7 linked regions of the Sus scrofa genome follow. The protein of the gene in region 7 interacts with the protein of the main gene of each other region in a biochemical or structural test. Links are inferred from orthologs where the notes say so. Each region holds a gene or a part of one and is shown on either strand. Other genes may lie near its edges.

The links.
Region 1: the proteins of LRRK1 (region 7) and TCF25 form a complex in vitro, tested with the Homo sapiens proteins (2 studies listed by BioGRID and IntAct, with this or other methods). The link is inferred for Sus scrofa from reciprocal best matches to the Homo sapiens genes LRRK1 and TCF25.
Region 2: the proteins of LRRK1 (region 7) and SCEL form a complex in vitro, tested with the Homo sapiens proteins (2 studies listed by BioGRID and IntAct, with this or other methods). The link is inferred for Sus scrofa from reciprocal best matches to the Homo sapiens genes LRRK1 and SCEL.
Region 3: the proteins of LRRK1 (region 7) and ECHS1 form a complex in vitro, tested with the Homo sapiens proteins (2 studies listed by BioGRID and IntAct, with this or other methods). The link is inferred for Sus scrofa from reciprocal best matches to the Homo sapiens genes LRRK1 and ECHS1.
Region 4: the proteins of LRRK1 (region 7) and CLVS1 form a complex in vitro, tested with the Homo sapiens proteins (2 studies listed by BioGRID and IntAct, with this or other methods). The link is inferred for Sus scrofa from reciprocal best matches to the Homo sapiens genes LRRK1 and CLVS1.
Region 5: the proteins of LRRK1 (region 7) and SNX9 form a complex in vitro, tested with the Homo sapiens proteins (2 studies listed by BioGRID and IntAct, with this or other methods). The link is inferred for Sus scrofa from reciprocal best matches to the Homo sapiens genes LRRK1 and SNX9.
Region 6: the proteins of LRRK1 (region 7) and GAK form a complex in vitro, tested with the Homo sapiens proteins (2 studies listed by BioGRID and IntAct, with this or other methods). The link is inferred for Sus scrofa from reciprocal best matches to the Homo sapiens genes LRRK1 and GAK.

The regions. Positions count from the first base shown.
Region 1 is NC_010448.4:191,840-195,339, reverse strand, and holds part of TCF25 (transcription factor 25), read left to right. Parts: intron 1-1,267; coding exon 1,268-1,350; intron 1,351-2,080; coding exon 2,081-2,211; intron 2,212-2,364; coding exon 2,365-2,464; intron 2,465-3,100; coding exon 3,101-3,194; intron 3,195-3,500. UniProt on the Homo sapiens protein: Component of the ribosome quality control complex (RQC), a ribosome-associated complex that mediates ubiquitination and extraction of incompletely synthesized nascent chains for proteasomal degradation.
Region 2 is NC_010453.5:49,770,091-49,773,590, forward strand, and holds part of SCEL (sciellin), read left to right. Parts: intron 1-721; coding exon 722-830; intron 831-3,280; coding exon 3,281-3,383; intron 3,384-3,500. UniProt on the Homo sapiens protein: May function in the assembly or regulation of proteins in the cornified envelope. The LIM domain may be involved in homotypic or heterotypic associations and may function to localize sciellin to the cornified envelope.
Region 3 is NC_010456.5:141,346,071-141,350,138, forward strand, and holds the start of ECHS1 (enoyl-CoA hydratase, mitochondrial), read right to left. Parts: upstream 2,801-4,068; 5' UTR 2,715-2,800; coding exon 2,627-2,714; intron 1,190-2,626; coding exon 992-1,189; intron 586-991; coding exon 458-585; intron 1-457. UniProt on the Homo sapiens protein: Converts unsaturated trans-2-enoyl-CoA species ((2E)-enoyl-CoA) to the corresponding (3S)-3hydroxyacyl-CoA species through addition of a water molecule to the double bond.
Region 4 is NC_010446.5:72,254,460-72,258,542, reverse strand, and holds the start of CLVS1 (clavesin-1), read left to right. Parts: upstream 1-1,283; 5' UTR 1,284-1,489; intron 1,490-2,394; 5' UTR 2,395-2,496; intron 2,497-4,083.
Region 5 is NC_010443.5:9,236,175-9,240,141, forward strand, and holds the start of SNX9 (sorting nexin-9), read right to left. Parts: upstream 2,801-3,967; 5' UTR 2,578-2,800; coding exon of another isoform or gene 2,566-2,577; intron 1-2,565. UniProt on the Homo sapiens protein: Involved in endocytosis and intracellular vesicle trafficking, both during interphase and at the end of mitosis. Required for efficient progress through mitosis and cytokinesis. Required for normal formation of the cleavage furrow at the end of mitosis.
Region 6 is NC_010450.4:294,145-298,258, reverse strand, and holds the start of GAK (cyclin-G-associated kinase), read left to right. Parts: upstream 1-1,314; 5' UTR 1,315-1,404; coding exon of another isoform or gene 1,405-1,549; intron 1,550-2,004; exon of another isoform or gene 2,005-2,566; intron 2,567-4,114. UniProt on the Homo sapiens protein: Associates with cyclin G and CDK5. Seems to act as an auxilin homolog that is involved in the uncoating of clathrin-coated vesicles by Hsc70 in non-neuronal cells. Expression oscillates slightly during the cell cycle, peaking at G1.
Region 7 is NC_010443.5:139,492,743-139,496,925, forward strand, and holds the start of LRRK1 (leucine-rich repeat serine/threonine-protein kinase 1), read left to right. Parts: upstream 1-1,383; 5' UTR 1,384-1,707; intron 1,708-4,183.

The sequences.
Region 1 (3,500 bases), on a different chromosome or scaffold from region 7:
AGGTTGCAGGTTCGATCCCTGGCCTTGCTCAGTGGGTTAAGGATCCGGTGTTGCTGTGAGCTGTGGCATAGGTTGCAGACACAGCTCGGATCCCGTGTTGCTGTGGCTCTGGCGTAGGCCAGCGGCTGTGGCTCTGATTAGACCCCCAGCCTGGGAACCTCCATATGCTGCGGGAGCGGCCCAAGAAATGGCAAAAAGACAGAAACAAAACTTATGTCCTCCCCACGGGCTTCCTTGTCCCCTTGCCCTGCTCCTAAGACACGGAGACGCTGTGTCTCTTTGTGATACGTCTGGTGGTCGTCTTGAGATCTCCCCTCTGGACTGTCCCTGCCGCCTGGTTCACCCTTCCCTCTGTCTGTTTCTGGTGTCCCGCCGGTGTCTGCTCTCGCGGGCGCCCACCACCCAGCTCGCTGCAGGGCCGAACCTTCCCTGGGACCCCGTGGGCGAGGGCCGTTCCGAGCAGCCTGTTCTCCTTCTCACACCAGTTATCCCAGGTCAGCTGCAGGCTGCTTTCCTTCCAATTTTGGCCATGCTTTTCTTGAGCCTTTTTTTTCTCCTGCAGTTTCCAGCGTTCTTGTTGGAAGAAAAACACATGTTTTCTAATCCCATTCCTAACAAAATCTAGATTCTTACTCATTGTTCTTCGTGAAATAGTTCAGATTACAAAAAAAAAAGCCTACAGAGCAGTACATGCAGGTCCACTTGGCTGCTGCTCAGCTTGAGAAGTAAAGCAGCAAGCGGCAGCGCAGACGACAGTGTGTGACCACAGGTTAGGGGACCCCGGATGAGTGCGCTCGGGCCCCTGCCCAGTGCACTCTGTCTGGCCGGCTTGCTTGCGGAAGTGTGTCGGTCTCGGGGTACCGAGGCCCCTGTCTCGTCACTCTCACGGGCCCCCTTTGCCAAGCGGCTGGCGGTGTTAGTGGGCCCCCGAGAGGGCCGTGGAGGAGGCCCCTCTGCTCTGCAGCGAGCTCTCAGCCTCCACGTCTCCAGTTACGGGTCTGACCTTCGTGGGGGTTTGGTTTGGGTTTTGGGGGAAGTTGGTTTTTTTGGTTTTTTACCTTTTCTGCCACTTCGCTGGGCTCTGGGTCCCATTTCCTCTTCCTGAAGCTGTCGGGTTGCTGGCGTCTCGGTCTGCAGCCTCGGCCTGCGTCTCGGCGGCCAGCTCCCGCTCTTTGCCTCTGTCTCTGTCTTGCTCGTGGGAGTGTAGCTTCCACCGTCTTCCCTGCGGAGGTCCAGCCGCAGAGGTAACCGTCACCGTTCTCCCCAGGCCGCGGCAGAGGCAGCGCGTGTACCCCAAGTCTTCGTGGCTGACCACCCCCAAGAGCACGTGGCCGCGCTACAGCAAACCAGGTGAGGGCGTGGGGCCGGCCTCCGCGCAGAGCCCCAGCCCGGCAGCAGCTCCGGCGGAGCCCGTGTCTGGGCACAGGCCCTCGCCCACCGTGCGTTTCCTCGGGCTTGTTTTAATCAGCTCTTTTCTACTTTGCCCTTTGGACTGCATCCCGTGCTATAGCAAGCAGTCAAGGGTTTTACAGTGGCATTTTAGATTTTGTTGCAAACCAGTGAGCACGCATCATTTAAGGAGCCACTTAAGGAAAAGAGCCCTGCGAAAGGTTGGGGTGTGGGGGAAGGCCCTGCGGGGTAGCGTGGAGGACCCTGGGCCCTGTGCTTGGGTGGCTGCTTGTCCCCCTGGTCATTCACCCCCCGTTCCCGGCAGCGGGACTGGCTGCCCTGGGGCCCTGCAGGGCTGCCCTCGGTGGGGCCTTTGAGAGCGTGTGGTGAGGGCGTCCTGGAGCCCTGGTCTGTTTCACGGGCGTCCCACCCAGAGTCAGCAGCAGGAGTGGACAGGACGGGCGCCTAGTCGAGGGTTGGCCGTGGCCGCCTCCTGCTAGGCCACCTGGGTTTCTGCTCTAAGCAGCCAGTGGTTGGGCTCCCCCAGATGGGGTGGCGGGAGGTGGGCTGTGCCTGGGACGTGGGTGCTCGGACCCCGCTCGGGGGTGGTGGGAGCGGGGGACGATTACAGGGAGAGTATGGACAGGGGACTGGGTGTCGCTGGTGGCGCCCTGACCCGGGGCCCCCCCAGGTCTGTCCATGCGGCTGCTGGAGTCCAAGAAGGGCCGCTCCTGCTTTGCCTTCGAGCACAACGAGGAGTACCAGCAAACGCAGCACAAGTTCCTGGCCGCGGTGGAGTCCATGGAGCCCAACAACATTGTGGTGCGCACGCACCCCGGGGTGGGGGTGGGGAGGGCCGAGCGCCCCCGGGGTGGGGGAGGGGCACGCACACCCCGGGGTGGGGGAGGGGGTGGGGAGGCGGCGTGGCGGCCCCGGGGGCGCGGCCCGCAGCTTGTGTCTTGCTCTGCCTCGTAGGTTCTGCTGCAGACGAGCCCCTATCACGTGGATTCGCTCCTGCAGCTCAGCGATGCCTGCCGCTTTCAGGAGGACCAGGAGATGGCCCGGGACCTTGTAGGTGAGACCCGTGGGCAGCCCAGGCGCAGCGGGCGGGGGGACACTCGCCAGGGGTCTGCTGAACAAGAGCCCTACTGAGGTAGCGCTCGCGTGCGGTGAGACTCGCCCTTTGCGCGTGTGCCGTTCATGGCGTCTGGTGTCTGCAGAGTGGCACGGCCTCATCCCCGTGGGTTCTGGGTCATTTCCAGCTCTGCCAAGAGGAACCCTGACGGAGCAGCTGTCCCCTCCCCTCCCCCAGTCCCTGACAGGCACGTCTGCTCTGTGTTCTGGACTTTCCTGTGATGGAAGCCTGGAACCGTCCCTCTGCAGTTGCAGTCCCTTCCGCAGTGTCCTCAGGCACTGCTGCGGGGCCAGTGTGTCAGCGCCTGCCCCTTTTGTGATGGCTGATGCCCTGGGTGTGGCCGCTTCCACCCTCGGCCTTGTGGGTGCTTGTGGGTTTCCAGGAAGTGTGTGCCCATCTGGTTGGAGGACCTGCAGAGGCAGCCGTGAGCCCCAGGGCACGGCCCTGCCTGTCGCTTTCCAAATCCTGGTTTCCTGGCCCCCTCCCTTCTGAAGCCTTCCTGGTTGTGAGCGAGAAGGGTGGGTGTGCCGCCCCGCGTGGTCACTGACGCCCCCCCCTCCACCCGTGTCCCTGCAGAGCGTGCGCTGCACAGCATGGAGTGTGCCTTCCACCCCCTGTTCAGCCTCACCAGCGGGACCTGCCGGCTGGACTACCGCAGGCCTGAGAACAGGTGAGCCGGCCGCCCGCGGGCCTTCAGCGGCCGGCACTGCCTCCTTTCACCGTCACAGGTGCAACACAGGAGGGCCGCTGTGGAGGCAGCGGGGTCAGATGGCACGGGGCTGGGTCCCCGGGCATCTCGATGTGTTTGAAGCTGGAGTGTAAGAGGCTGGGCTGGAGGTGGACATGCCACCTGGCCGGGGGTTAAACTTGTCCAGGTGAGGAGGGAGCCTCACGGGCTACTTCACCAGGAGGGACCCTGTAATTGTGCCTCCTTATGTGTCTGGACTCCAGAATCTGCAGCCCGCGAGGTTGGGAT
Region 2 (3,500 bases), on a different chromosome or scaffold from region 7:
GCAGCTGCCATCCTATGCCACAGCCACAGCAATGCCACATCCAAGCGGTGTCTGTGACCTAAACCACAGCTCACAGCAACGCTGGATCCTCAACCCACTGAGCGAGACCTGGGATCAAACCCTCAACCTCACGGTTCCTAGTCAGATTAGTTTCCACTGCACCATGACAGGAACTCCAAGATTCTGAGTCTTACAATGACACCAAGAGAGGTGGCATAAGGGAGCATTTTGGTGACTCTAGGTTCTAGAGTCTAGGGTATCCATCATATGTGAATTTGCCAACACACCCTTGAATCAATTTCTATTTTTGTCCTACTGAATATTTTGGGAGTTAAATTTTTGTATTAATCTGCAGTATAATTTTTCTATGCTATATGTACATTAATAATTCAAAACTCTCTTCTAGCTTCAAGGGGTACTTAATGACCTGTTTCAATTAGGAAAACTATAACCGTCTTTACCCTGCCCAGATGCACTCTTGATTGCCAATGAATTAATAATTTGCAATTTTCCCTCATGTTAATTCTTTGATATCATTTTGAGATAACTAGAAGAATTAATTCTATCACTAGAATAAGTGAGTCCTGAACTTTCCTTGATTTTTACACAATTTACTAAAGTGTCAACAAAATTAACATATCATTTCCCTATGACTTTATGGGAAATACATATGTCTTTGGCATGGTGACAAATTTAATTTTAATTGCTTACATCTGTATAGGTCTGTCATTGAAAGAGATATGTGTACTTACTGTCGAAAGCCCTTGGGCACAGAAACTAAGATGATTTTAGATGAATTACAAATTTGCTGCCATTCCACTTGCTTCAAGGTAAGGATATGTTTATTACATTTAATTTGATAAGAAATTGCATAATGACTGGAATTAAAAAAATTATGTAGTGAAGTACATGAGATGAAGTTAAAGCTTTCAGAACACTCCCATGCACATTAATAATGCACTATTTAAACATTTCTCGAGCGTTCCGCAGCCTAAACCTCCAAGGTTTATAATTAAGCTTTAGGCTTAGAGTTGATTACTGACACATTTATAACTCTGACCCTACAGATTTCAATCTGTAAAACAATAAACACTTGTTCCTCTTTAGAAAAGTTTTTGCAGCACTTTCATAAATCATGCAGTACCTGAAATGTGGAATGAAATCCAAAAAGGAAAATAAATTGTTGAGAGGAAAGCTAGCAGCTCCTTATATCATGAAATTAGGACCGATGGGCTTAACAATAGTTGAAACTCATTTTGCTTTTGAGAGCATGGTGAATTATAGTTAAACATGGCTTCGTATAATAATAATAAAGCATATATAGTAGAATGCTTTATAGTGTGTATCTTCATATTGCCATGTCTTTTACTTCTCACAAAAACATTGGATTGGTCAACATTACACTTTTTTATGTAACTAAATGAATACTTAGCCGGGAACCTGAAGACCTGACTTGGAGTTCTAACTGATTGTGGTTAAAATTAATTGTGGTCTTGTCACTTTGGACCATCCCCTAAATTAGCTTAGTCTTGGTTTCCTCATCTGTGAAATCAAGTAGCTGAATAAACCAGTGGTTTTCAACCCTGGATGCACATTATAATCATCTGAGATTAGAAGGAAAAATAGAATGCCGGGGACCAACCCCAATTAAATCCAGGATCTTAGAGATGATTCCTGAGCACTGGTGTCTTTGCAAGCTCCTTAGATAGGTCTGACGGCCAGTTTGAGAACGACAGCCTAAACCCTTCGGAGGAGTTCCCGTCATGGCTCAGCAGTAACGAACCTGACTAATATCCGCAAGGACACAGGTTCAATCCCTAGCCTTTCTCAGTGGGTAAAGGATCTGGTGTTGCTGTGGCTGTGGTGTAGCTGGCGACTGTAGCTCCAATTCCACCCCTAGCCTGAGAAGTTCCATATGCTGTGGGTGCAGCTCTTAAAAAAAAAAAAAAAAAGACATAAACCCATGGGGCCTTTCTAGTGCTGGTATTCTCCAGTTGATGCAAATTATCTAATTCAGTCAAGTTGAAGTAATACTTTGACAATTGATTGCTTCTCTTTTAATTGGTAACAGACAGTGACACAAAGCAATTGGAAAGATGCCTTACTTTGAGTAAAAGAATAATCCAGTTTTAGGCCATCATGTATAGAATTCTATAAAAAAGTATATGAAAATGTCATAATTATTGAATTATGAGACAGTGAAATTTCCTTTTAGTTATTAAAATTTACTCACGGAAACAAAAATTAGTCTATATCTCTTTATGTTACATTCTTATGCACTAAACTTTTTAAAAGAAAAAAATTCCCCTGAAAATTCTCTTGCTGTTGGTAAATAGGAATAATTTCCATTTATTATATTTTAGATGGTTTATTTCCATTTTCAATTTAATTATAAAATGCTACTAACTGAGAACAAAAATGTCCCCACACTCGTAGGAAAAGACAGCTTATTCTATAGTCATAATAATAGAGAACCATCTGAACTGGCTTAAGTATGTCTAACGGATCTATGACAATTTGCATCAGTAAACTTGAAAGTCAGCCAATTGGCAATGAACTTGCTCCAGTGAGCGCAAGTCTAAGGCAGATGTCAACCCTTTCCTGCCTTCTTCACCAACACAACTTGAAACAAACTTCCCTCTAAACCTTATGTAGGATCAGAAGCCTGTTTTGCTCAGGGACCCTATTCTTGGACAGCATAGCTCTCCCTTAGTAAGCAAATGACAAGTATTCTTTGTATTTTTGTTTGTGATATCCAGTGGTGATCTTGTCTTTGGCATAACCTTTTTTTTTTTTTTTTTTTTTTTTTTTTTGCTTTTTAGGGCCACACCCATGGCATATGGAAATTCCCAGGCTAGGGGTCAAATTCGAGCTACAGCTGCCAGCCACAGCCAAAGCAATGCCAGATCCAAGCCGTGCCTGTGACCTACAACACAGCTCACAGCAACACTGGATCCTGGACCCACTGAGCAAGACCAAGGAACGAACCTGCATCCTCATGGATACTACTGTTCCCACTGAGCCACAGCAGAAACTCCAGCATAAGCAATTTTTGAAAATGTCTATCCATTCTATTGTGAGTGAGGGAAAAACTTTAGTGTATGGATTAAAGACAAGTATACTTCTACTTTTCCTCTGGGTTTTTCTTGAGGCTTCATTTAAGTGTTTCTATGGAGGATGGTACCAAATGAATTAAAAGGTTGTTTTTTTTTTTAATACTGTTACACCAAGAATCTAAACTTCATATATAATGTAAACTTTATATATACCTTTTATTTAGTGTGAAATCTGCAAACAATCTTTGGAAAACCTACAAGCAGGTGACAGTATTTGGATTTATAGACAGACAATACATTGCGAACCTTGCTACTCAAAAGTTGTAGGTAAGTGTTAAGCTCGGTAAGCACCCATCACTAACATTAATGAGTATTTGATATTGCTGAAAATGAAAGATTTCAAAAGTAAAAAGTGTTTTATTAAAAGTTCAAAAAAATTCAGCT
Region 3 (4,068 bases), on a different chromosome or scaffold from region 7:
TTCCTCCCTTCTCTACAGGCTGCAGCCAGCCTCAGGGCCTCTGGTCCAGGTGCCCGCAGGACACCCTGACGTGCCAAGTGTAGAGCTGCCAATGGTAGCAAAAGATGTCAGGTGACAGGACAGCACAGGCTGGAAGGCCACCAGAACTGCACAGAGAGCAAACACGTGTGCCCTTAACCTGGCAGAGGGAAGGACACTCCCAGGCAGTTCCAGGGGCCGCTAAGGACGGGGGGGGGCTTTACCGACAAGGGAATCCATCCGAAGGCCCACAGCTGAGCGCCTGCTGACAGAGCTATAACGCCCCTGGACATTCCTGCCTCTTTGGCATCGCTCGGCAGCAAAGGCCCACGAGCATGGGATAAGATGAGGCCTCCCCTAAGCAAAACTCAGTGCTATTGCACACACACAGGTCCAACTCCTTTGGGTGTCCTGACGCAAGGAGGAGGCGCACACTCACGGCGTAGCCATTGACAGCAGCTATGACCGGCTTCCTGACCCGGGAGAGGTGGTCCCAGTGGCTCAAGAACCCACCGGAGTAGCAGTCCTGGAAGGTCTGGTTCTGCATTTCCTTGATGTCGGCTCCAGCTGGGGCAGAAATGAGGTCCCGGTTACCAGAGCAGAGGCCCCACACCAACAGGTGGCTATGGAGCGTCCCCTGCAGGTTTAGGCCCTGGGGGCTGCAGGCAATGGCCACGTGGACCACAGCTGGGCGGCGGTGGAGCACCACACCACCACACGAGGGGATGCAGAGGGGTGTGGATGGGAAACAGCGCAGGGAGAAGGCGGGGCTCCCTCAACAGTCGCGCGCACACGAGACCTGATGCCTCTGAACACACAGAGCGCCACGCATCAGAGTAGCCTCTCCAGGCAGCTCCGGGTTCCGTCCCGTGCTATGCAACTTTCCTGATGCGTTCACAGATCTCTAGGTCCGCTACCACGCCACGGTGTGATCGTGCACCTGGCTGGCCTGTCACCACGCTGCCCACCTCACCTGCAAAGGCCTTCTCCCCGCCTGTGAGGACGATGGCGCCCACGGCTGGGTCCTCCTCGAAGGCCTGCAGTGCCTGGTTGAGCTCCAAGATCAGGCCCTTGCAGAGGGCGTTGAGTGCTTTGGGGCGGTTCAGCTGGATCAGCCCCACATTGCTGCTCTTCCCCTTCTTTGCGACGACGATGTGCTCAAAGTGTGCGCCTGGGGACGGGGACCACAAGGGATTGCCACTCACAGGGGCAGCAGACTGGGGGATGCACCCACGAGTGCGCAGAGTGGCCCGACAGGACCCCGGAGGGCCCCTGCTCAGCTCGCAGCTGCGCAGGCGGCTTCTGTAGTGCTCTCTGCTTCCAGAGATGTTGGAACATTGCCTTCAGTTAAAAAGTAACAGCAATGAACAGCAGCCTTCCCTCTCCTGAACGCCTGGGTCAGCACCTCCCCGAACCTGCGCTAGACAAGACAGCCTGCGATTCTGCAAATCTGGGATAAGGAAACTCCTTCTTTCTTTCTTTCTTTCGGTCTATTTTTTTGCCTTTTCTAGGGCCGCACCCGTGGCATATGGAGATTCCGAGGCTAGGGGTCTAATGGGAGCTGTAGCCACCGGCCTACACCACAGCCACAGCAACGCGGGATCCTTAACCCACTGAGCGAGGCCAGGGATCAAACCCGCAACCTCATGGTTCCTAGTTGGATTCGTTCACCACTGTGCCAGGATGGGAACTCCAGGAAACTCCTTTCAACAAAGGTCCACTAGGTGCGGGGAATGAAGCTGCACACTGCACGCTTCCAGCCTTGCGGGGAGGCCCCCCTGGGTGGGGGGAATCGGGGGGGGAGGCACACACAGGCAAAGGCAACTGCGGAGGCCCACAGGGGCTGCTCGCCCAGACAAGAAGGTTAACCAAGGTGGTTTGCTTTCTTGAACAGCGAAAGAGGGAGGCAGTACCCATCCCACTGGCTTGTTGGGGAATAACTGAAATCGGACATGTAAAGGCAGCACGACTGTCACATACAAGCCCGGGAAACAACTGCTAATCACAGGCTAGGATGCAGCAGCAGGTGGCCAAAGAGAACTTAAAACCAACACTTGTTAGTTAGGTTGTCAGCGGACCAAAAGTGAAGGAAGAGGCGGCGGGAATTCTTCCCCAGCTCAGCGACGTGGGCAAGAGTTGCCGCGGGGAACTGGGCAGAGGTGCTCGGCAGAGAGGAGGAGGGGCGCGCGGCGGGGGGGGAGGGGCCGAATCCGAAGGCCAGAGCCCAGGAGAAAGCCTGGACCTGGGGAGGCCCGGGCAGGAGGCACAGCGGGACAGCACGAGCTTCCCCTTCCTACTCCAGAGGCGCTAAGCGCACCTTCTCTTAAAGTCTGAGGAATTTCACAACCAACAGCCAAACGCTGAAATGGTCAGAGGTCTGAGCTCTCGGTCCCTGGTCTCTGGAGTTGAGGCGCTAGTGACCCCAGGGCTCCGCCAGCTCGGGCAGCAGGTGCCGGGAGGGGTTGCGAGGCTGGCCGGGTCCCCTGCAGGGGCGGGGTCCCGCCTAGCGGCGCGCCCAGGCTGAGGCCCGGGGGTCCCGGGCGCTGCCGAGGGACCCCCGCCGCGGGTCCGCCCCCGCCCCCGCCCCCGCCCCCGCCCCCGCACTCACTCGAGGCCAAGGAGCGCAGCGCGGGGCAGCCGGGCCAGGCGCGCAGCGGGGCGCGGACGCGTGGCAGCAAGGCGCGCAGGGTCGCCATGGCGCTCCCGGGACGAGGGGCCCCACTGCCGGAAGCCAGCCCAGCGGAGCCACCGCCCAGCGGAGCCGCCCCCCGGCTGCGCCAGTCAGGGCCCGCCCCGCCCACTGCGGGCATCGCGCGACCAGGCGGCGGAAGGGGCGGGGCCGCGGTCGGGGGCGGAAGGAGGCGGGGAGCGCTCAGGTTCCGGCGGGGCGGGAGGAGGGGCAAGGGGTGGGGACGGGGCGGGGCGGGAGGAGGGGCAAGGGGTGGGGCCGGGGCCGAGCGGCGGCCGCAGGGGGGGCGGCTCCGGCGCCGGTCGGTGCCCGCGTCCCTGTCCCCCGGTCCGCGCCGCCTTTAGCGGACCCCGCTCGGTGGCGTCCTTCCAGCAGCCCGAAGACCTGAGAGCAGACCCGCCAGGGCCGGCCGAGCCGTGGGGGTGGGGTCGGAAGCACGCGTGGGCTGCGCGCCGCGTGCGCGAACCTGGAGGGCCGCCCGCGCACACCGGCCCAGGACACACCGGGCGGTGAAATCAGGCCTCCGGGCGACGTTCAGGTGTAATTCGGGGCGGAAAGCCAGAGCAACCCGGAGAGGCCTCTGAGCCGTGCGGTCCTTGAGTTAGGGGATTCTCGTTTGTGTTTTAAAGGGGAGGACAAAGATGCAGTTAATCATCGTTTTGAGCCGTTTCTGTCGGGCTGTCTCTGGTTTTCGGTCTCAGGCCACGTGGTCCATGGCTTGGCGGGCTGGTCGCTCGGCCTGCCCTGGAGAAGCAACCTGAGCTTGTGTGTTGATGTCTGCAGAGGCAGTGATGGTTTGCTGAGGATGTCACCCGCAACCGCGACTTTAGTTGTCTGACTTTGATTGCTATTCAGTTGGCGCAGGACTGAGGTCGGGAGACAAGAAAGAGAAGAAAGTTTTGGGTAGAGAGATTCGTCAGAAGCTCAGTAGGGAAACTAGGTTTTAGGGGGCCTTGGTTTCAATAGTTTTCAATATTGAAAATGTGTATCAGACCCTGAGTCCTTGTGTTTGGAAGGAAAAGCCTTTTAGCCTCCCAGCCTCCCCTCAGTCTCAAAAGTTAATGATTAGAGTTAATGATTAGGAAATTTTGTTATAGCTAAAAAAAACAAAGCAGTCTCCATCATGTCATGCTCTGCCTTGGCCACCAGCTGGACTTTGTTTCCTTTCTCCTTAGAGTTCTAGGCACCTAGTGTCCAGCTTCCCCAAATGACCTCTTCCTTGCTAGTCGCGTGCTTTTACTCTTGGTTACCACATAGGCAGAGTTAGGGTGCACCTAGTGTTTGCGTTTGTACATGGAACACTTGCTAATACACCTTCCCTGTAAGCAGTCTTCATTCAAGAGAAAAGGTTCAGGCATAAT
Region 4 (4,083 bases), on a different chromosome or scaffold from region 7:
TTTTTGATCTTTTTGTCTTTTGAGGGTCACATCTGTGGCACATGGAGATTCCCAGGCTAGGGATTTAATTGGAGCTGCTACTGCCGACTTACAATGCCGGATCTGAACCATGTCTTCAACCTACACCACAGCTCACGGCAACGCCAGATCCTTAACCCACTGAGTGAGGCCAGGGCTCAAACCTGCATCCTCTTGGTTCCTAGTTGCATTCATTTCCGCTGAGCCACAACAGGAACTCCAAAATTGCCCCCCCCCTTTTTTTTGTCTTTTTTTGCCTTTTCTAGGGCTGCTCCCGTGGCATATAGAGGTTCCCAGGCTAAGGGTCTAATCGGAGCTGTAGCCGCCAGCCCACACCACAGCCACAGCAACTCGGGATCCAAGCCACGTCTGCGACCTACGCCACAGCTCACTGGCAAGGCTGGATCCTTAACCCACTGAGCAAGGCCAGGGATCGAACCTGCAACCTCATGGTTCCTAGTTGCATTCGTTAACCGCTGAGCCACGAGGGGAACTCCAGCCCTATTTTAAATTACATGTCTATGTTTACAGGAGAAATTAGTTTTTAAAATATATGTTTATAAAGCATTTACCTTTATTTTGTGAATTCTTTGTTGTGTGCTTGTCATCCTTTTTTCTCTTAGGCTGATAGTGTTTTTCTTTTGCTATATGTGATATTTTAATATATGAAATACATATTTGTTGAAATTTTTCTGAGTTGTTATTTGTATTTATGTTTTTATGATATTTTTACATTCAAAAGTATTTTTTGCACTCAGGTTTATTGGCCTTTTTTCTTTAGGATTGCTTCTATTCCTCTTGTGCTTTGAAAACCTTCCCTATTCTGAAGTCAGTAAATCTATTTATTACCTTCTTCTAGTTTTTTTTAATTTTACTTTTTAATTTAGCTCTTTAATCTATGTAGGATTAATTTTGGTACTATGGGGCTTTTACTGGAGACTTTTCCAAATCATTCGTTTTCTTACCACCCTTTGTTAATAAAATAATCCATTCTTTCTCCATAGGTTTGTGTTACTTTCTCATCTGTTAAATTCACACACGCACTCACACACACACGCACACACGAGTCTATTTCAGAGCTTGCATTAATCTGTTTAAAGGATTCTGTTTTTAAGGTTGTGTGTGAGTTGGGGGGTGGGGTGGGGAGAATGGTTCCAGTACTTTTTGGTCCCAGATGTTACAAAATTACAATAATTCTTCGTATTGTCTTGACGGAACCGGGGGAGAGCATTGGTGAGGAGGCCTTTAGGACCCAGGGGAAAGCCAGGCTCCGTATAGAAGGACAGAGTCTCGGGCGCACACGCCTCCTACCAAAATCACAGCCCCTAGGAGCCGGGGCTCTCTCATTCACAGCTTTCTAGAGAAATCTGAGCCTGAACCTGCCAGAATAGGGGATCTCACCCACTCAGCTCAGCATCGAGGACACCTGCAGACACACATTCCCAAAGCAAGGCTGGGCGGCCGTGTGAAGGTATTTGTTGCCTTTTTTCTCCCTTCTGTATTCTCAGCGCCTCCCCACCTTTCCCCGCTCTTGCGATGCCATGGCTGCGGCGTTTCAGCACTTCGGTGCGTGGACAGCTCCCATCCGCAATCCCTCCGCACTCCACCTCTCTCGCACCCTACTCTCCACGGTCTCCGTGGTCCATCCTCTTCCCAGCGCCCGCTCAGCCTGCGCTCCTTAAACCATCGGCACCCCCATCTCCACCATCACCGTCATGCTCTCCACCATCACCAGCGCCGTAACTACAGTCAACACAACTGTGTCTTGTCACTTAGACAAAGCCAGAGGTCCGCAGGATAGAGGAAAAGAGCCCAAGTTTTCAGGCACAGGAAGGAAAGTTCAGGTGGACTACACCCCTGAAAACAAAGAGAGACGCCTGCTTGAGAGAAAGGGAAAGTGAAGACAGAAGAGAGACCCCGGGTAGGGGACAGATGGGGCACTTGCCAGACACCAGCAGTTAGCCAGATGCCTTTCAGCAGATTAGAGACTGTTTAGTTTAGGAAATTAACATGGCCTGGGGTATAGTATTATTCCGGTAAAATAGATCTCTAAACTCAATCTGCCTTTCTGGTTTTCCAATGGAGAATCACCAGGAAGCAGGGGGTGGGGGGGACTGATGACTCATATTCACCCACATGCCGTTTTCCTTCCTAGGCATTTATTGCAGAAACTCTGGAATTAAGTTTTTGACTGAAATGTTTTGTAAAATGGAAGCCCCAAAGGTTAATTCGGTGGCCGGAATGGAAATTAAAATGATGGTGGTGATAAAACCTAACAAATGGGGCTTCCATTGGAAAGTGTTATTTGTCCAAATGTCTCTTCCTGTCTACTTATTTAATTTCAATTTTCCAATCTTATATCTCTCTTTGAAACAGAGAAGATAGATCTCTTGCCCAAATGGCCAAAGTAGTAATGATATTCAGAGCAGATGGCCTGGCTTTGTTCATCCTAGTCAAGGACTGACTCAGATTTGGAAGGTGAGATTTTTGTGTGCTTTCTCAAGTAATCAAGTGATAACACCATTTCCCTATAATAGTAAGGGGCAATAGAGTGAACAAAAATTGAAAACACATTTTATGTAACTGTGGTTCTGCTTTTAGAGTGCTAAGCTTTTCTATCTCAGCTGAAAGGAAGTTGGAACATCTTCAAATATCTTGACGGCCCAAACCCAAGTCATAGCACCTCTTTGATGTAGCCAGGACCAGCTGTTTTATAAGAGGTAACAAACCTCAGAAAATAAGTGCCCGAGCCTGTCATAAATAAAAATCCTCTGATGATTGTTCATTTAATCAATTATTACCACACAGCAAAATGTTGGGTTTTTTTTTAGCAAATTGTTTTTCATAAAGATACATCTTTATTAAAATGGATAAATGATATTTTCATATGAGAATAATGTCAGTCACATGTAACAACCAAGTTTAAACCAGAGTACAGAAAAGGCTGATTCAAAAATTGCCATTGTATGTTTATTCTGCCTCTTTAAAAAGAAAAAGAAGCAAGTTTGTCTAAGCCAGCTTGCTCATAATCAGAGGCATTGTCAAAAATAAAGAACAGTCACAAACAAGTATCTACTGGAAGAAGTTTTGAGGAAAAAGTCACACCAAATGCACTTCTCAAATAAGGAATAGTAGTAAGAATTAATTCGGTCAGCATCTAAAATTTGCTCACTTTTGAACTCAAACCAAGAAAACTAGTGAAAATATCTGGTGAAACATTTTAGAGAAGAAGAAAATCTGGTCATCCTTATACTGTCCTTAGACTGATAATATCCATGGTAAACTGGATCTCTCAAATCCCCAAGCAACAAGATTATTCTCAAAACTCCCTTATCTGTCTGCAAAGAATGGTTCGGCTGAGATAATTTTTTAAAGTGTACATATTGCTAGTTCTAGCTGCTTGAACCAGAAACTCATGCCAGGAATCTAGTCCCCTCAATGCTACTTCTTCCTGTGCTTAATACAATTTCCTGAGGCTGGGGAAATTTCAAAGCAAGCCTGCTTTGATAAGATTTACAGGCATCTGTCTCAGAAGCAGTGCCTTTCTTTGACTAAGATATTATACTGAGCTTATTAATTTTTATAGAGTGGCACTATCCTGGCTTCTCCTTTTGTTTTTTCTATAAAGGGCTATTTTGCTTTTTTCATATTTTCAATAACAGAACATTCTCACTTTTATGATGGATTTAAAGGTGAACAGAAAACATTTGCCATCCAGAGTGGCATAAATACACTTTTGTACACATGTTCACAGAGGGATGCATCTTTTTAGAATCATGGAATATAAAGCTGGAAGGTCCTTTATTTCCCCAAAAGGGGGAATCCAGAACTCTTCAGACTTGGTGGTGTCTGCTTACTTATGCAGGCTTTACAAAGGGACACCTTAGTAACCCTGGGAAGTCAAGTCATGACTTTACACATTTCCCCAGCAGAGCCTCCCTTAGTAAATGGACCCAGGCTGACTTGGATATTTTCTGTTTTCCTGTTATACAGTGACCCAGAGGAGGTAACACAGCAGAATGGCTATGAAGTGTGACCACATGCAATCAGCCCAGACATACCACT
Region 5 (3,967 bases), about 130 Mb from region 7:
TCAGTATACAGTGATTAGAAACAATGAACACACAACTTCTTTAAAATGTGCAGCTACTGATTAATTTTCTCTGGCAGTGAAGAACTGCTCAATTCAAGTATTTCTTCCAAAAGATCATTTCTTTCTATTGTGAATATACCAGTGTAGTTTTTTAAAAAGAATGATAGTTCAAAGATAACTGCATCTTCAAGAGATCATGTAAGAACAATTCCTGAGAAAAGGGGATCTGAGGAAAACAGAAGCCATTCTCTAGTAAATTCAAACCCAACACTTTGAGTAAAGGGAAACCCAATACTACCTAAAATGTCCAGAAACTGTATTTATTCCTCATCACTTAATGCTGTGGCAGGAGCCTGAGTGCCACATGAATCTTCAATTTTTAAACAGATGTTATTACTTACTAAAAGTACGTTCTCTCTGACAAGTACCCACCCAATTAAAGAAAGGGAGGATAAAACCCCCAGCTACTCAGACGTTGGTAAGGGCAGGGATCCAGGAACGACAAGGTCAAACTTACTCCCTGGGAACAATTTAAAAAGGAGACTTTGGTTGGATCCAAGGGTCACCAGAAAGTAGGAAAAAACCAGAGAACTGAGGAAGAGCCCTATATAATAAGTGCTTCTCTGCTCTTCCATTTATTAAAAAACAAAACTGGAAGTGGTTTGTCACAACGTAAACATGGCAAGGAGGACCATGTGGAATAGTGATTACAATGGGGAAAGAACCCATAGCTCAGAATTACTGGAATTTGCCTTCAGAGGCGTGCAGATAATAAAGGAGGAAGTGGTTACACATGCTTCAAGGCTCATGCCGAGTGAGGATATATGCAACTCAAGTTGAGTACAAGTCACTCTAATTTTATGGAAAAACTAAGTTCAGGTGTAAAGTATCAAATAAAACTTTCATTCCATATACCAATACCAGCTGCTGAGTTCCACTTGTCTCTATAACTAGCCCCAGTAGATCAGGACGCAAAATAGCACAACACTGACCACCACTGAAAAGATACCGACAACAACAAACAGCTTTTAAAGTTGCGAGTTGAGTGTCTATAGGACCTGTAATTGGTCATTTCTGGGCTGTTTGGGAACAAACCTCAAAATCAAGTTCCCTTAGAAATCCTTGGCTTACCTCTTGTTTTTAAAAAGACCAAAGACAAAATGATACATGTTAAAAGGGCAGCAAAGTTCTATGGCATCTAATAACACCAAAGCAAAGCAATGCCAATAATCCATAAACCAGAAGGTAATTATTGCAGTAACAGCAACAGGTTCACTGGAGAAGAGTCTCCATTAAAAATAATAATAATAGTAATAAACACTGCACCTAGACAGACACAGAGCACAACATTTAACAGACTATCAATCTGATCCTTCAAAGGGATGTGACATTTATTATTAGTTTTCTAAGTTTTCTCTCTCTACCCAAAACAAAAACCCAACAACAAACTTCTAAGATTTCCACCAACCCAGGAGTAGCTTCCAGGTTTCAAACATAAATATGGAAGGGGGTGCTGATGTTTTAAAAGGGAACATTACAAAAACTATTTGCAAAAAGCAATCAGATAAAAAAGTCAACTCAAACCACATCACTGGCTCCAGACGGAGGGGACTCCCTACCTCTAGTCCTCATTCCGTGATCGTGGCTTTTTTTTTTTTTTTTTTTTAATTACGAGCCTGCATCAAACTCTAAAGAAAACGCCCCAGCCCAGGGAGCGGGGGAGGGTGGCTCCTGCAGACTCAGGTGACAAAAGGTGACCGCTAATCCCACCGACAATACCGTGAAATAAGCAGACCAGTCCTCCTGGCCAATTACCAAGCGCGAGTCAAAGTTCCACCACGTAATTCGGGCCTGGACCTTTATTCAAGCAAATACGTAACTGAAAGCAGAGTCATTTCCCTCTTTGTATTTTATTCATGCTGGAAATAACATTCAAACTGAAAAGGTAGCAAGACAAAAGGAAAACAAAAAACAAGAAAACCGAAGGCAGTGGAAGCGCGGGGCGTTCAAGTGGCGTTTTCCGTCCTCGGGAGCCTCCGGTCACCGGCCCGAACTCAAAATCCCCAGCGCGCTCGGGCCGGGGTCTCCGGGGGAATCGGCCCCCCGCCAGCGGCCCGCGACGCTGGGGTTCCCGCTCCGGCGGGCGGCGGGCGGCGGGGGCGACGCTCTCCGGCGGCGGCCGGACGCGCGGGGCGGCGGGGAGTGGACGCCGCTCTGGACGGAGTCGGGCCCCCGGGGGTCGGGCGGCGCTGGCGAGCCGGCGCGGGGGCTGCGGGAACTTCGCCTCCCTCCCGCCCGCCGCGGCCCCCGCTCAGGAGCAAACTTTGCAGACAGCGCGGCTCGCGTCCGGGGGACCCTCCCGCGCGTCCAGCCGACCCGGAGCGCCCCAGCCCCGGCCGCCCGTCCGTCCCGCGCCACTCAGGCCCCTCAGGGACTGTTGGCTGGGCCCCGGCGCGCCCCCTCGGCCTCCCCGGCGGCCGCCGCCGCCCGCGCCCCCCGCGCCGACCCTGCCCGCGCCGCGGCGGGGCCGAGCGGCCGGCCGGGCCTGTGCCGCGCGCCCCTCACCTTGGTGGCCATGGCGGGCGGCTCCCCCGACCCGGGACGGCCGGCTCCTCTCCCGCGTCGCGGCTGGCGGCCCGAGGCGGCCCGGCGAGAGCGAAGGCGACGGCGGCTACGGCTGGGCCCCGGCGCGGCGGCGGCGGCGGCGGCGGCTCCGCCTCGGCCCCGAGTCTCGGCGCAGGGCGACTCCTGCCGCCGCCCGTTCCTCCAGTTCCTGAAACTCCCCGGCTGCGCGGCCCCCGCCCCCGCCGGCCGAGCCTCCCATTTACCGCGGCGTGCGCGGCGCGGCCGGCGGAAGCGCGCCCGGTGCCCTCGGCCGGCCCGGCCTCCTCGCCCGCTTTCCGCCCCCGCCCGGAGCCTCCGCCCCGGGCCCCGCCGCCGCCGCCGCAGGGCGCCCTTTGTTCCAGTGCTCGGGGCCGCGTCCCGAGTGGCGGCCGGGGCCCGGGGTCACCGCCCGTGGGGACCGAAGAGGGGAGTGGGGACACGCTCGGGGGCAGCGCCTGCCGGGGGAGCCGAGTCCCAACCGCCCCCCCCGCCCCCCGGCGGCCACCGCGGCTGAACTTTCTGGGCGAGATGCACCGGGTGCGGCCGGTGCTCTGCGTCCCCCGGCGGGGCACGAGTCCCCCGCGGGCTCTTTGTCCCCCGTCGGGACTGCGGCGGGCCCGTCGTGCTCCGGGCAGAGTGCAGTGAGTGTGCAGTAAACAGCCAGCACGGCGCCGAGCAATGGCTTCCCGGCCCTTCAAGGAGGATCTGCCTCCAGCCTGGAGTTTACCGCGGGCTGTAATCTCGGCTGGAGCTTCTGGGCCCCGACGCTTGAGAATTTCGTTCCGAGGCATCCCCTTAACCTCCTTCTGGCCTCTTGATAAATGTAGAAGCTTCTCAGGGCCTCAGAGGTTTGGGGGAGACCCCACAGGTTTCCTGAAAGGGAAAAAATGGGAGTCTAAGAATTTCCATTTTCCTGTCAAAAGCTTTTTCTTCAGGGTTGGATGCAGGGCTGCATTAACGAATGAATGACTTAGGCAGCAGGATTTTCCCTCTAGTGTAAAAGAGAGGACTGGAAAACATACCTTGATGGAGAGAGTAGCGTTGTCCTTCTTGATTTTTATCAGGAATATATATATCCTGGTCCTTCAGAGAACCAGGAATGCCTAAGAAATCCTCATCTGCGGGGTTGAAGCTCAATTTAGGCTGGGAAAGTGATATTTAGAGTCAGAGTCAAATTGTGTCCTCTCAAAAATATTCTGTTTGACTTCCAGAGATTTCACTGGTTACATTCAACGGAAGGGTTTAAAACGGATATGGTACTACAGCTTTCTGTGAATTTTTGTGTTTGCTGAGCTCATGGCTATAGCCATACTCATAATATTCATAAATAGTTGACTTTCTAGGTGAAAGTAAAGTTACAAAC
Region 6 (4,114 bases), on a different chromosome or scaffold from region 7:
AAGTGGAGGTTCCTCTTTTTCTTTTGTCTCCTTCCTTTTAAATGGCAAAGTCATTTGACATAATGCTTTTAGTTTCCTTCTTGCTTCCCTAGTTGCTGCTCCTCTCTAAAGAGTGTACTTTCAGTCTAAAAGCGACATTGTCCCATTGGTGCTCTCCTCCAGACAACTGCCACCTCTATGCTAGGAGACACCCAAAAACAGCCCGGACTTTTTCCCAAGCCTCCGATGTGTTCCATTTACCAGACAAACGCAGCGGCTGGAAGAGCCATGTGACTCGGTATCACTTGTTGACCCTGGCCCCCTGGCTAAGTAATGGCACTGCTGGGCATGTTTTCTCACCCCAAAGGGATAATTAATAGGAACGCTTCTAAAAGGATGTTGTAAGCAGTAAAGCATTGTATGAACTGAGCTTCTTTACTATAGTGATAACACGTGCTAGCCTGTCCAGAAAGAGACTTTTTTTTTTTTTTGTCTTTTTGCCATTTCTTGGGCCGCTCCCACGGCATATGGAGGTTCCCAGGCTAGGGGTCCAATCGGAGCTGTAGCCACCGGCCTACGCCAGAGCCACAGCAACACGGGATCCGAGCCGCGTCTGCAACCCACACCACAGCTCAGGGCAATGCCGGATCCTTAACCCACTGAGCAAGGGCAGGGACCGAACCCGCAACCTTATGGTTCCTAGTCGGATTCGTTAACCACTGCGCCACGACGGGAACTCCCGGAAAGAGACTTTTAATAGCTTGAAATTCTAGGAGGGTTAAGATGCTACCGGGGGCGGTGGCTCCATTTCTCCGTTTGGAGGTGAACACGCCAGACAAGAACCTACCGAAAGCGGCCGGCTGCCAAACGCGCCAAGGGGGTCAGGCAAGTGGCAGCGTCTTACCTGGGGGGGGGGGAAGCTCTAGGTGATGGGTCACACACGGGATTCTGGATCCAGTGCTGCCAGAAATGATTTTTCCACAGAAGCGTCAAAACTGAGCTTTTAAAATGATGCTTTTCGGTCTTTTATAGGCAACCAACTCAATAAATAGACGGACGCCGCGGGCCCCCCGGCGCTCGGCTTACACAGACCGGCTCTGCGCGGCCGGGCACCGGGAGCCCCTGGACACCAGCCTCCGCGGAAACCGCCGCGTGCAAACGGTTGGGCGCCGGGCTCCCTCCTCGAGCTCGGCGCCAGAAGCCCGTTACCCGGCCCACCCTCGCGTCCACGCCCAGCTCCGCGCACTCGCAGCCGCCCGGCGCGGCGGAAGTGACGCCCGGCGCTCTTCCGGCCAGCGACGCGCCCCCGCGCCTGCGTGGAGGCGTCGGGCGGAAGCGGTGCGGTCGCGGCCGGCGGTTGCCGAGTGGACCCGGACGCGGCTGTACGCTGAGCCCTCGGTCCGGCGCCCGCCGCGGGCCGCAGCCATGTCGCTGCTGCAGTCTGCGCTCGACTTCCTGGCGGGCCCGGGCTCCCTGGGGGGTGCTGCCGGCCGCGACCAGACTGACTTCGTGGGGCAGACGGTGGAAATGGGCGAGCTGCGGCTGCGAGTGCGGCGGGTCCTGGCGGAGGGTGAGGCGGGGGCCGGGGGCGCGCGGCCCGGGGCGCGGGGCAGGACCAGGCGGGCAGGGGGAGGGTCACGGCTGGCCGGAAGGCGACTGCCGAGGGGGAGGCCCGTGTGGGGTCGGGCACTTCCGTGTCGGAGGCTGGGGTCAGGCTGGGGCAAGGTGGTCGTGGCGGCAGGTGTAGGCTCACCTGAGGCTGGAGGAGAGGCTGTGTCGCTGGGAAGGAGTGGTGGGCCGGCGGGGGTTGGCGCGCGGGGCCTTAGCGGAAAGGAGGCAGGGGGACCCGCAAGACTAAAGGCTGGAGTCCCGAGGCACGCGCTGGGGCCGGGGGGTGGGTTATAAGTCGTCGAGGGCCGCGGTGGGACAGTGGACGTGGGGCTGGTCCTCTCAGGTTTCGGGACCTTAGGCGAGGGTGTTGGGACAGACAGCGCCGCGTCCTGTAGCCGGGGTTCCCCCTCTTACCATAGGAGCGTCTTCTGCCCCGGTCCTCTCTGGGCCCGAGCTGACCCGGCAGTTGGGATCCGTACAGAACCTCGCCGCGGGGCTGGTCAGTCTGTGGTCGGCTGTGTTGCTGCACGCTGTTTCTTGCTTCCTGCACCCCGCCTCCCTTCCTCACACAGAATTTCCCACCAGTGTTGGCGCGGTCCTGTTTCCTTGTCTGCGTTTTTCTGTTTTGTCCAGTGGGGATCACGCGGGCGTGTGAGCTTCCCCTAGCCGTGGCACGGTTGGCTTTGGGGCTGTGTTCCTTGCTTTAGCCTGCGTGAGGGAGTGGCTGCATGGACAGCTGCACATGGCTGTGGTTTCCCTCGGAGCTGTAGCTTCAGCCAGTCACTGCGGACATTCCTGCTGCCATTTGTGCTCAATTTCAGGTGGAACAATGGCTGGCTGTTTCCAAAGGCCTGAGGCGTGTTCTGCCCTTAGCATCCTCACACACATTGGCTCCACTGTCAGGAAGAGAGGAATTTGGAGGGTGATTTGGTGAGAAGATCTCAGGCTCTTCTTCAGAGCTAGTGACGTTCTGAAGTGTGGTATTCTTTCATATCTGGGGTAGAACGAGAGTTGCCCCCAGATCAAATCATTTATTCTGAAAATGCCAGGGAAGTATTTTGATTCTTTAAGAAATTCAGAGTGGAGAGTACGTGATTTCTGCCTTGTGGAACTTTAAATAAGACACATTTTCTGATGAACAAAGGACAGTGCAATGCAGGGGATTCCTCTGGTGGGATAGACGGTGGGCCCAGCTGAGATGGGAGGGGTGAGAATGCACCTCCTGCCAGGGGCAGGGCCAGTGCAGAAGGGGAGGGATGGGAAGTGGGTCACACAGAGAAGGAAGCTCGTGCCTGTGGCATAACACCCAGGATGAAGAACAAGGAAATGGAAGCAGCCACTGTGGTTGTGCAAAGCACCTGCTCCCCTTGTTGTCTAGACACACCAGGAGGTGCAAGGTGCCAGTGAGATTAGGAGCTGTAGATTTCCTCCCCTTGAACTGAACCGGCGGCTTGGCTTCAGTTTCTAAAGCTCGCGAAGCTCCTTTCTGAGCTGGAATGCTAAGAAACCTGTTGTTCCCATCAAGTAGCAACCGTAGAACCTAGACTGGGGGAATTCAGGCTGTCTTGTATAAATATGTGGAAAATCCCAAACCCAAAACCCTTGGGTACCTGTATTGACAATTTCAGAATTCTTCAGGTTCTAGGAAGAGCCTGTGTATTCTCTCTGAGCTGGCACGCCGCCAGGGCAGTTGGGAAAGTGTTGCATAACCAAGTGCATTCGTGTATCTGGAGTTAAGGGAGTGAGTCCTCACGGTGGGATAATTAAGTCTTCAGCTAGCCTCACATCAGTTCGTGTTAGGTGTTGCCCAAAATGACTTTATAATAGATCAAGTTTTGCTCTCAAATGATTTAGGGGAGGGAGTGCCCATTGTTGTTCAGCGGAAATGAATCTGACTAGCATCCATAAGGACACAGGTTCAATCCCTGGCCTCACTCAGTGGGTTAAGGATCCGGTGTTGCTGTGAGCTGTGGTGTCCTTCGCAGCTGCGGCTTGGATCTGGCCTTGCTGTGGCTGTGGTAGGTCGGCAGCTGCAGCTCCTATTCAACCTCTAGCTGGGAACCTCCATATGCTGCAGGTGCAGCCCCCAAAAAAACAAAAAAAAAATTAAGAAAAGATTTAGGGAAAAAACATTGGTTTTCATAGCTTTGACATGTGCACTTGTAGCCTGAAATGGGTTGTTGGGCAGAACTGTGGAGCCAGGTGATCTTTGCAAAATGTACTGTTAATTTTCACTTTAATTTAATTTTGTTTTGTTTTTTCAGGGCTGCACCCATGGCATATGGAAGTTCCCAGGCTAGGGGTCCAATCAGAACTGTAGCTGCCGGCCTGCACCACAGCTACGGCCTCAGCAATGCCAGATCCGGGCTGTGTCTGCCACCTACACCACAGCTCACAGCAACGCCGGATCCTTAACCCACTGAGCAAAGCCAGGGATCGAACCTGCATCCTCATGGATCATAGTTGGGTTTGTTAACCACTGAGCCATGAAGGGAACTCCTTCACTTTAATTTTAAAGCTAGTT
Region 7 (4,183 bases):
TGTCACTGCTATGGCTCTGGTCACTGCTGTGCCACAGATTCCAACCCTGGCACTGGAACTTTCCCATTCCCCAGGCAAGGCCAAAAAAAAAAAGCAGTGGAAATCTTAACTGACCTAGCAATGGCCCCCTGTAAACCTGTAACTAACACACGCCTAACGGATGGAGTTAAATGCTGGTATATAATCAGCTTGAAACAAGCCCCCTGTGTGTAGACTATCCCAACGGTTTTCTACAGTGGAGACATTTCCAAGACGGTTCCCAGGCTTACTTAAAAGGGAAATTGAATTGCTGCCCCCCCCCCATTGGCCACGTCCACTAGTTGTCTGCTCAAGCACTGGGCATGCACTTCCTCACGGTGCCGCTAGATGGCAGGGCCGCGCGCCCTTGGGGCGCTTTGTGGAGATTCGCGGGCTCACTCAACACCGTGGACGCCACGCCTTGCAAATTATTAGGGACTTTTCGGTAGCAATCATATTAACGCCTTTTGCATACTGGAATTAGAACCGCGGTGATGAGGGTAGGATTGCAAAACTGCACCCACCCTTTTGAAAGGGCGTCCAGTCCAGGAGAATTAGAGGGACAACCTCTTGGGAGTAAAGCAAAGCTGCCCGGCGGTCCCCTCGCCAAAGAGGGGCCCAAGGAGCTTGTCCGAGGGGCCACAGTCCTGGGTTTCCGCGAGGTGACGTGATGGCCCTGCAGCTGCCTGGCTTTTGTGAAATGGAAGTAAGGGTGGTGGCAATTTGTCTTTGTGCCTTGGGGTAAATCCTGGGAATGTTCTAGTCGTAACACTACGTGAGAGGAGCCTAGGAGGCAGGTCCTGCCAGGGTGAAGAATCATCTGCTTTTTTCCAAACCGGCTTCTCTTTACCCGGTGGGCACATGGAGCCAAATCCATGCCTGTCTGCAAGCATGGACATACATCTTTATGCTCTGCGTTTGTACAATGGCCTCACTGGTGGGAACATAGTTAAGGTAGCTTGAAACATAATAAACTGCCTATATGCCCCAATGTTTATCTACCACCTCCCCCCTCAAAAATAACCCCAGGCAATTTAAAATGATTCACCAAACAGTGACATATTTGTATACATCCATAATTACATTAGTAAATTCATGTGGTAGAAGGGGTGCAGTTTGAAAACTATTAAAGCTTTAAAGTTACACATTTCTAGTCTGCTCTATAGTTTTACACAAATGAATATTCCCGTCTTTTCCATATTTACTGCCAGAGTATACGATCTACATATATGAGTCAGAGGTTCATCAGCGGATTTTGCAGCGGAGCGGATCAGAGGGGCAGGGGAAGCTGGGTTGAGCAGAGAACGACCACTCTCAGCGCCGCGCCCGCCCCGCGTGGAAAGCAGGATGTCCCAAAGCGGGAAGGGCCGGGGGGCCTCCGGGCCAGGAGCAATGAGCGCGATCGCCTGGGATTTGCAGCAGGGAAACTGAGGCGGGAGGTCGGGGAGGTGGTGGTGGGGGTGCTCCCCGAACCAGTTCCTTGGCAACGCCGCCGCTCCGACCCTCGCTACGCACCCTTCGCGCCGCCTGCCGCCCGCCCTCCTCAGGATTGAGGAAGTGTGTGTCTGGCCCGGCCCCGCGAGCGGCCAGAGGCGCAGGGGCGGAGGGCAGAGGGGCGGCCCGGCCCGGATCCGCCGTCTTCCTCCCCGCCCGCGCTCAGCGCAGAGTCCAAGGCGCCGGCCGCCTCAGGTAAGCGCCGCCGGGCCCGCGCCCCGCCAGGGGACCCGCCGCCAGGCCCCGGGCGCAGGGCGACCCCAGGGCTCATGGCCCCGCCGCCTGCCGCCGCGCTCACGGGGCACGAGGCCCAGGCGGGGAACCCGAGACCCCCCGGGACGGGGCCCGGGCAGGGAGAGCAGACTCGAGCAAGGAGTACTTCTCCCTCCGCCTTTGGAAAAACTCGCTTCCTTCAAGTCGGAGTGGCCGTGAGAGCGCGTGTGCGTTGTGTGAGCCTGAGAGTGAATGTGCTTGTGAGCGAGAGTGTAAGCTGAGTGTGAGCGCGGGGGTGTGGGGAAGCAGCAGCTCCCTGCCCCGACGGCCTGGTGCGCGACGGCCGGCGCATCTTCATCCCACCCTCAGGCTGAGGCCCTCTTCTGGCCTGAGGGTCGGATCTCCGGCGGTGCGGATAAAACCCCGCCACCACCTTGGCGGTCTCTGCGGCGACCTCCCGGCAGAGGCGCAGGAGATGAGCGCGGATGTGGTGGAATGAGGAAGGGAGCCGAGGAAGGCAGCCGAGGAAGGCTGCCGAGGAAGGCTGGGGGTCGGAGGGATATGATAACGAATAATTGGGCGACTTCTGTGCTGGGCTCGACCAGCCCCTCTTTGTTTGAGGTCAAGAAGCTTTTCTCTCAGGAGCACATCCCCCTGCAGGGGTCTGAGAAGGAGAGATACGGGAGCCTGTAGTTTGTTTTTGGTGAGCCTCTCACCAAACACACCATTTTCAGACTTTGTCACTTATTGTGTCCAAATTCCCCTGGGCCTTAAGGGGACAACTAGAATATGCAGGATTTGGAAAAATGTTAACATTCCCCTCCTTTGGTCGTTTGGCTTCATTATCTTTGTTTATGCCCCGGAAGAATAAAAAAGTTAGAAACATACAAACCTCACACCTAATTTGTCCTGCAGAAGGTTTTGGGGGCCCTGCCCCAAGCCTCCACATCTCAGGGGGTGGCCTCATACTAAAGGTAGTAGGCACAGTTGCTCAGATCAAAAACCTAGGAGTCGTCCCTTGTCCCAACTCCTCATTCCTTGAATTCAATGGTTAGCAAGTCCTGTTGGGTCTCAAAGGTGTGTGGGGTCCATCCCCTTCCTTTTTATGGCCCACTCTAGTCCAAGCCACCAGCATCTCTTACCTGTGCAATTGCAGTGCTTCCCATACGCCCAGTCTCCATTTGGCAGCCATGGTGATTTTTTTTTTTTTAAGGTAAATTCGAGAGTGTCAGTCTTCTGCTTGTAACCCTTCAATAACATCTCCTTATGCTTGTCACGAAATCCAGAAGACCTCCTCCCGTCCGCATCCCTGCAGCTGATCTGGCTTCTGCCGTCTCAGATCACCTGGCCATTGCCTCCCCACCCAGCCACCCCCTCTAAACCCAGCCTCACTCTCACATCTCTCTGTGTATGTCCTTGCAGTTGCCAATGGCTGTGTGTTCCTACTCTATCTTTTGAATTACTCCTTTAATTTACCTGAAAGTCTCCATTGGAGACTCCAGGTGTCAGAGACCTTTCCAGAGTCCCTGCTCACTGTTGCATCTTCACTCCCAGAGCTGCTCCAGAGGGTTCCAAATGCATACAGGTAGAGAGACAGTGGTGGAAAGACAGTATGAACTTGTTTGTGGCTTTAGGCTCACAAAGGGCTTCTGTTCTCATCTGGGCCTGAGAACTACACATTTCTACGGTTTGTAGCACCGTAATATTTTGATGTCTACAAATCTATTAAACACATTTTGTAGGCAAGCCAGTAGTGGTCAAGGAGGCTAGTTGTGCCAAAGGGATGTCTCGGACCATGGGCCAACCATCTCAACCAGGCTTTTGATTCAAAAAAAGACCTGGGAGTTCCCGTCGTGGCGCAGTGGTTAACGAATCCGACTAGGAACCATAAGGTTGCGGGTTCGGTCCCTGCCCTTGCTCAGTGGGTTAACGATTCAGCGTTGCCGTGACCTGTGGTGTAGGTTGCAGATGCGGCTCAGATCTCGCGTTGCTGTGGCTCCGGCATAGGCCGGAGACCACAGCTCCGATTGGACCCCTAGCCTGGGAACCTCCATATGCCGCGGGAGCGGCCCAAGAAATAGCAAAAAGACAAAAAGACAAAAAAAAAAAAAAAAAAAAAAAAAAAGACCTGGGTGGGAGTTCCCGTGTGGCTCAATAGGTTAAGGACCTGATGTGTCCCTGAGAGATATGGGTTTGATCCCTAGCCTCACACAGTGGGTTAAAGATCTGGTGTTGTTGCAGGCTTCATCCTAGGTCACTGAGGCGGCTCTAATCCAGGGTTGCCTGTGCCACAGCTCTAGCTCTGATTCGACCCCTGGCCTGGGAACTTCCATATGCTGTGGGTGTGGTGCAGCTGTAAAAAGGAAAAAAATAAAAAAAAAATAAAAGGCTGGATGATAAGAGCATTTCTAACATGCTTCACTTGTGCAAGTTTCTTCAGGCTCTTTGGTATCTGCAC